2 linked regions of the Xenopus tropicalis genome follow. The protein of the gene in region 1 binds, or shares a complex with, the protein of each later gene. Links are inferred from orthologs where the notes say so. Each region holds a gene or a part of one and is shown on either strand. Other genes may lie near its edges. The genes, in order: amhr2 and amh.

Region 1 (4,111 bases):
AATTTTTATGTGCTCTATCTTGCCCCTCACAGTTGACCTTGAAATGCTTGCCCCCCCCCACAATCCACTGTTTATCAGCATTTCAGCATCTGTAAGCTTTATTATTTCACTGCAACATTAAGGGCAAAGACACATGGGGCAATTAGTCACAACGACTTTTAAAAAACTTGGTTGCGGCAACGAATTGCGGTAATTTACCTGCCATAGATTAATCTACAAGATGCCGCATCAAATAGCGCACCGTTTGCAGCGTGTCGATTAGTGACCATGACTTTTTTAAGTCACCCCCTTAGGGCTCTGGCACACAGGGAGATCAGTCACGTGCAACAAATCTCCCTGTTCGCGGGCGACTAATCTCCCCGAAATGCCATCCCACCGGTGAAAATGTAAATCGCCGGTGGGATGGCATACACGGCGCTGCAATTTCCCTGAAATTGCGGAAGTTGCCTTGAGAGGAAATTTCCCTGAAATTGCGGCGCTGTGTATACCATCCCACATCAGGGAGTTTAGTCGCCCGCAACAAGGGAGATTTGTCGCGGGCAACTAAACTCCCTCGTGTGCCAGAGCCCTTAGGGTGAAGACAAACAGAGCTACTAGTAGAAGCTACTTGTCACAGCTATTAAATAAACAATGCTGATCATTTACTGATAATTGTCTCAGTAGAAATGTGTGTTTTAGCAAAAGCAATTCTCAGTATTGTCTTTGGCAGGGTATTTTCTTTGATATGATATTTACACATAACATTAACACTTTAATGAACTTTAATGAATGTATATTGGAAATTGCATAGGATTATATATATTATACAAAATCACCTTTGATGTAGCTGAAAAACTAAAAAGAAGAGTTTACCATACTGTTCACCGGTACCATTTTGTTATTAAAATCGATAGATCTCTGCTACTGTGGGCAACAAACTGCTCAGAAATGCCTTTCCACTAACAGCAATAGTAGTCGCCTTTGGAAAGGCCTACACATCACTCTGGCTTTCCAAAGCTGGATGAAGTTGGCTTGCATAGAAAGATGAGTAATAACAAGTAATAAATAGGTTGCAATAACAATAAAATCACACCAACTAATCGCCTGCCGCAAAAGTTGCGCCAACTTGTCACGCACAGTACATTTCGAATGCGGCATCTTGTATACATGTGCACGGAGATTAGTCACCGCGAGTCGAATCAACTGGGTTTTTAAAATCACAGCGACTAATCTCTCCTTCTGTCTTTGACCTAAAAGTGTACCACCCCTTAAACTGATCAAAACAAACATCTACTATTTTTTACCAAGCTGCTTGTGTAATGAGTCGGAAACACATCAGTCTTCCGTGATCAAGAAAGCTGTTTTCTTTTGTTTACCATGGGCACTATCTGGCTATTTACAGGACAGGTTTGCTGTATGACAGCATTTATTTTTTATCCCTGATAAACATTAAGGGATTGCATCATTATTTACTCTTTATAAGCTGTGCTGTGCTTTCCACCAGCAACAATAGGAGTTGTGGGGGGAAAGGCTATTGCATTGCTTCGTTATTCCTGAAGTCGCGCAAAGACGCCTGCCTGCAGGAGGAAACCACACTACTTCGGATAAACGAAGCAATGCGATGGCCTTTGGGTATTGCAGTTGCTATTCTGTAAATAATAAGTAAATACACTGTATCTGATGCTAAGGCTTATGCCACATGGGGCAATTCACCGGTGTTTGTCAGCACATTACAAATGTACTGTAATGCTCCTATATTGTGCAAAATTATTGTTTGAAAGTGCAACCTGTACCCACCAGCTAGAACATCCACAAGCCAAAAGTTAAGAGTTAACTGCCAACTGCAACAAAAACTATAAAAAAAAAAATATATTTGTCAAAAGTTCTTGTATTAATTGTGTTTTAAGGTAAATATTGACAATTAATATATCCATAATGTCTTATCAGTAATGACATATACAACATTGCCTCACTACAGCTGCACATTTAAAGCCACCCAGTATGAGTTGCTGGGCCTCAGCACTGTGGGTTACAGAGGTTGCTCAGTCTCTCTTCTGCACACTGCGCTGTTAGACGGGCCTCGGAATCAGGATCCCAGCAATCTTCCAGAGTCTCCCAGAGGGCTCCAACAAGCTGGAATATGGGGTATAGGGGGATATGTTATATAGAAACCTGTTATCTAGAAACACAGCACTGTCAACACTGTCAAGAAATATGATATTGGTTAATTGGAAATCTAAATAATATATTGGAATACAAGACTGGCATAAGGCTGTGAAAGAAGACTAATAAAAAAAAATAATTGCAATAAAAAGAGGGAAAATAAATATTCATGGACAAAAATGGAATCCTTGGATAAAATATATACAGATATAGGCTCGATTTTTCAGAGACAATGATAAAATTGTTTCAAGATATCGTATGGAATTATGAAAATGTAAAACGACACTTTGGAGAATATTTGGGTTATGTATTGGAAATACGTCTGAATGAATTATTTGTGCAGAGCAGGCCTTGGGCCAATTGGAATAGGGCGCTGCACCAATGGGAGCCCGCATCAACAGGAATAAGCACATAAAGCAAACATATATAATACAAATGTAATATATATTGTGAAGATGGTACAGCAGTTAAAAAGTTACCTTGATATTATTGCCCCAGGATTTGGGAAGCTGTGGCCGTCTTTTATTTTCAACTATCAATGACTGCAGCTCATGAAGAGTAGGATTTGGACCCAGTTCTTCAAGGAACACCACTTGGAACTCAGGTGCACATTGATCTAAGAGTTACAAGGCTTCATCTTAGTCTCATCTGCATAAGTATTAAGATATCTACAATACTACAGTATACACTACAGACATACAATATACAGTTATTTTTCACCAACAACCTGCTTGGCTTTTACTATAATTGTTTTCATGTAGTGATTAAGTCCAGCCTAAAGAATAATTCACTGCTAGGTCTCTGTTGGGTGCTGGCTTGAGCACCTTTGAAGCATGTATGTGACTGTCAGTTTTTGAGAGGGCCCAAGGCAAGGCAGGCCAGTCTGACCACAACACTTCTCCAGAGTAGCCTACTGTTTCCCAATTATAATGTCTAAAATTAAATGCTTAAATTAAATTTTCTTTTATGAACCTCAGTGTTAAAGTGTACTGCTGATGTGATTACATGCTCTACAACATCTCATGTTGTCAAAGTAATTGTATCAACTCATCTTGGGAGTTTTGAAGTACTATAAGATGTATGGTTTTTTTTCATATATATGTAGGGGGTGGTTGATGCCACCCTCATCCCCTAGTGTGTAGTACAATGCTGGAGATATCTGGTTGCTAGGGAACCAGCCAGGATCTATTGATGTGAGGCAGATAGCTTATTGGCATGGTTGGAGACCACAGAAGGAGATTTGCAATGTACAGTAGCACCTAACTGAAGTGGCCCAGGATCAATGTATTGCTCCTAAATTCTGGATAGAGAACTCAGCCTGAATCAGCTTTTATTAGTAAAAGCAAGCGGTGAAAGCTACTCCTGATCATTAGAGGGCCCTGACTGCCTGAAACAGTGGAAAGCCTTAACAAAAAACTAGTGAACCCAAGCACAATTATACAACTTAGGAAGTCACTTCTCACCTGCATATAAGTCATAACATCGACTGAATATTTCCCATAGTAATAGTCCAAGTGAATAGACATCAGCCTGAGTCAGAGCCAGCTCCCATAACACAAGATTCAAGGATCCATCCAACATCTCTGGGGACATATATCTCAGCGTACCTGTCTGTAGGAAACAAGTGATAATCAACTTGCTTGCAAAGTAACACAGTACATGGGCGTAACTATAAATTGAACAAAACTTGTGACTGTTGGGGAACCAGAAGGTTATGGGGGCCCAGAGGGACACCAACTATTAAGAAGTTTCCGTATATGTTTATGAAAAATATCCAAAGTTTCCCCAAAGGGGGCCACAAAAACATCTGTAAGGATTAGTAGCTTCTGACACATTCTGGCCTATTTATTATATTCTTACCATACTTATAGCTGGGTCCTCAGTGTTTCTTTTCATTATCTTTTGTCCCTCCAATACAACCGAAAGACCAAAGTCTGAGATTACACACAAGGAATCAGCAGTTACCAGG
Region 2 (3,827 bases), on another chromosome or scaffold:
ATTAAGCACAAACCTAAAGCTTGGACTGACATTCTCTTCATTCTCTTGTGCATCTTTGCTGGTCTCACCAATAACCATGAACAGTGCTGGTGTCATCTTGGTTGAGCACTTTCTGTCTGTGCCAAAAAGTAGCTTCTGAAGTTCAACATTGGTTAAAGAAAGTCCTGGCCATATGAGAGAAAAAAATAAGGTATTTTGTTTATTTATGTAATTGTACTTCAATGAGCTGTATCGGGTACCACCATCTGAACATATACATATAAGTTTTTGTTTAAAATAAAAGGAGGCTATAAGTGTATAGACTGAAATATAACACACTGATTCATGCTGAATCAACTGCTTATCAATTTTATTTCCTCCTCCACCCCCAATAGTTTCTAGGAACATGTTACTGGCTAAGCTCGCTGCCAACTGAGCAACTGAATTGGAAAAACTTGCTATGTTGTTCCATTGCCTGTACTGAGATATTATTATTCTCTGGCATCATAGTTATTCCCCTATTGATAAAATAGCCCAGGATCTCCATATGTCCTTACCATTAGAAAGCCCTTTAATATGAACAGACAGATGGAGCATTAGGTCTCCAGAAGGATGGTTCTTCGCAGTTCCTCCTACTCTCATAACAAGATAGCGGGTGTTTAATGACACACAAGCCACCTGCATAAAGGAAACCTTATTGTATCAGAAGTACAGTTATTTCACATTTCTTTTATATGAGTTGTTGTTGGCCCTGGTACAAAATACAGTGTATATTTATTATCTATTAGCTGTTAAAATATAAGGTTATAGAAAGTAGCCTTGCGAGCTAACATTTCTAGTTGGCAAAAAAAAAAAAACTGTTCCTGCTATAAACATAGTTTTCTTTCATTCATTCTTTCATTATTCATTGAAATGAAGGACTCTTTTTCTATATACATATCCCATACCCTACATCAATGGTTTCCAAACTGAAAATATATATTAGCTAAATATATGTGAGTGTAATTATAAAACCCCTTGCTTGCCTGTTCTGGTTGGACTCCTTCTCCTGACACTAGAATTTTAGATCCATGGTGATCCATGTAGGACTTATGTGTGTCAAGATGAAAGACAAGCAACATTAAGTGAGGATGTTGCAGATGAGCAGTGACATGTCCCTTCACAGCCCCCTTGAAATGCAGGCTGGTTCCAACTTCCCAGTCAACTGATGGCAAGAAAAGCAAAACAAAGCATTTATTATTAGCCACTCTAAGATCCGAATGATGTTTAGAAAACATACAGCTTATCTCTGTGCAAAATATGCAGCCCATCCATGCTGGCTCACTGTACCAGTAAACACAGTTAGGCAGAATAAGGAGTTCATCTTAGCGTTATAGCACACAAAGTAATTAAGTGCACCTACTGAGCAATAAGATTGACATTTGTTTTCTAAAAATGCAACTTTAAGCCTGTTTTTGACAGGGAAAAAGGTAACCAATACAGAAATGCCCACATTTTTCCTGAACTATATGGTTACCATAGTGAGCAGTGTCAGATATCCTCACCAATCAATTCCATGGAAGAAATAAAGTCATATACCCCAAGGGGGTATACTGTCAGAAGAAAAATAAACAATCATAACCTAGAACAGCGGTGAGGGCTGGAACTGGGAAAAGACATAAGAGGCACAAGAGTAAATATCTAGGGTGCAAGGGTGTGTGGGGCTCAATTCACATGGAGCAACTATTAGAAAAGATAGTGGCAACAAGCAAGCATAGCTGGCAGTGGCAGGCTAACTAGTGGTGGTCAAAATGCCCTGCAGGTCTTGATTTATCTGATTTTAGCTTATGTTAAGAACATTTAAAGGGGAAGTATACCACCTTGTTCAACATGATTTCCATGAATATGGCTTTTGCTGAACATACTTTTTACCTTTTCTTTTGTTATTTCTTGAGCTAAGCAGGATGTACAGGGAAACTGAAGCTACTCTATGTTTGGTTCTTGCAAGGTCCTTGTTAAGTATGACTCCTAGCCATCTATTTAGTTTTAAAAAGGCGATATTTTCAGGGCCATTTTAATAAATAGGCAAAAGGGGCATTTGCTCAGGGCCCATTAGGATAGGCAGGCCCTGGATTTGTGGCAAGGCCACAAAGGCTTGGGCCTAGGGCACAAATTTAGGGGTGACATGCTGCCATCCAGCCACACTTCACAGAAAACTTCAGCACATCCTGTCCCCAGTGCTCCGTATGTGAAATAAATAGATGGGCATGTGCATGATCCTAAATGAGGGAAGGGAGCAGGGGATGGGGGTGACCTCTGGGTACCTTAATTAGAAATCCGGCAGAAGCATTCAGCAGAGATAGCATAACAATTCTGTCATTTAACAACTCTCAGGGCTGTTGGTCCAGGGCAGCACACTAGGGCATCATGTCTACTAGGTACGCGCAGACCATTTCTTCATTGCCAGCTTTACTATATTGAACTTGAGGCTTTTATTGGGGTTGGGCAGCTGTAGTTAGTACTCAAACTGTGTTTTTTTTTTTACCAAAAAATATCAAATTCTTGGGCAAAGTTTAAGTATTTCACATCAACATCTTTTCCATGATCTATTTAGTACTTGCCTTTTCTTGTTCGATTGTGCATTTCTCCACTATAGCAAGTCAACAATTTCCAGTCAGTCTTATCTATATTTTAATTCCTTTTTTTTTTTTTTCAGAAAATAATACTTCGCCTTCCTGTCTATTCCCTTTATGTCTCTGTTTATAACACTTGGCATCACTGACATTAAATAAAATTTTTGGTTCACCTTTGACTTTTAGTATGATGAAGACAGTGACATTTTTTCCTGTTTGGAATTTTAGCAGCTATATGATTTCTATGGTCCAAATTACCTTAGCAACCAGGCAGTGATTTGAATTAGATATAAATAGGTTTTACTTATATTTATAAGTAGGATTTGTCCTAACAATAATTATATATTATTTTACAGAAGTATACAGGAGTCTTTAATTAAATGCAGGAAAGAAAAGCAATAAATACCATGGCATCCTTCCAAAGTGCAGGACTTGATGGGGGGGGGGGGCAGAGGGCGAGTTAATATACAGGCATGGGATCTCTTATCCGGAAACCCATTATCCAGAAAGTTCCGAATTACGGAAAGCCTGTCTCCCATAGACTCCATTATAAGCAAACAACTCTAATTTTTAAAAATTATTTCCTTTTTCTCTGTAATTATAAAACAGTACCTTGTACTTGATCCCAATTAAGATATAATTAATCCTTATTGGAGGCAAAACAAACCTACTGGGTTTATTCAATATTTAAATGATTTTTAGCAGACAAGTTATGGAGATCCAAATTACGGAAAGATCCCTTATCTGGAAAACCCCAGGTCCCAAGCATTCTGGATAACAGGTCCCATACCTGTACTACATTGTATTCATTTTAAAAAATCTTTTCTTACAGGTGGTTGGTTTTATGGGACTGACTCCATGAAAGTAGGTTACCTACAAGTGTTATGTTCATGCCAATTTGCTACCCATAGTACTCTTTGATTGTGCATGCATGTTAGCTCAATCATAATAATTGCATGTAGAAGTGTCTATTAACAATATGACTTAATAATAGCAGTCATACTAGCTTGTTGCATAATGTAGGGTGAGAACCTTGTCTCTGTTTGCCACCCGACCAGTAAAAATTATGCTTGATATCAATGTTATTAATAAGGAAGAAACATGTGTGGTAGGTTATCAGGGGCAGCAAAAAAGGCACTTTTGGGTTTTACACCGAAAAACACATAAATGATCAGGCACTCAATAATCCCAATGTTGACAGGTTAAATAAAAGTAATACAACAATATTAATAGATT

The links.
Region 2: the proteins of amhr2 (region 1) and amh are in contact, whole or in part, in a crystal structure (PDB 7L0J), measured with the Homo sapiens proteins. The link is inferred for Xenopus tropicalis from reciprocal best matches to the Homo sapiens genes AMHR2 and AMH. Residues at the interface, in NP_065434.1 of Homo sapiens: Gly31, Val32, Arg33, Gly34, Ser35, Thr36, Thr38, Leu39, Phe62, Ile64, Glu75, Met76, Arg80, Asp81, Ser82, Glu84, Pro85, Ser95, Arg97, Ala98, Pro100, Ser101, Leu106, Thr108; in NP_000470.3 of Homo sapiens: Leu471, Arg472, Glu474, Val477, Leu478, Ile479, Pro480, Glu481, Thr482, Tyr483, Gln484, Lys534, Leu535, Ile537, Leu539, Glu542, Arg543, Ile544, Ser545, Ala546.

The regions. Positions count from the first base shown.
Region 1 is NC_030678.2:146,934,572-146,938,682, forward strand, and holds the end of amhr2 (anti-Muellerian hormone type-2 receptor), read right to left. Parts: coding exon 4,003-4,111; intron 3,754-4,002; coding exon 3,606-3,753; intron 2,759-3,605; coding exon 2,622-2,758; intron 2,113-2,621; coding exon 1,996-2,112; 3' UTR 744-1,995; downstream 1-743. UniProt on the Homo sapiens protein: On ligand binding, forms a receptor complex consisting of two type II and two type I transmembrane serine/threonine kinases.
Region 2 is NC_030677.2:102,616,676-102,620,502, forward strand, and holds part of amh (muellerian-inhibiting factor), read right to left. Parts: intron 1,184-3,827; coding exon 1,005-1,183; intron 658-1,004; coding exon 537-657; intron 165-536; coding exon 14-164; intron 1-13. UniProt on the Homo sapiens protein: Plays an important role in several reproductive functions. Induces Muellerian duct regression during male fetal sexual differentiation. Also plays a role in Leydig cell differentiation and function.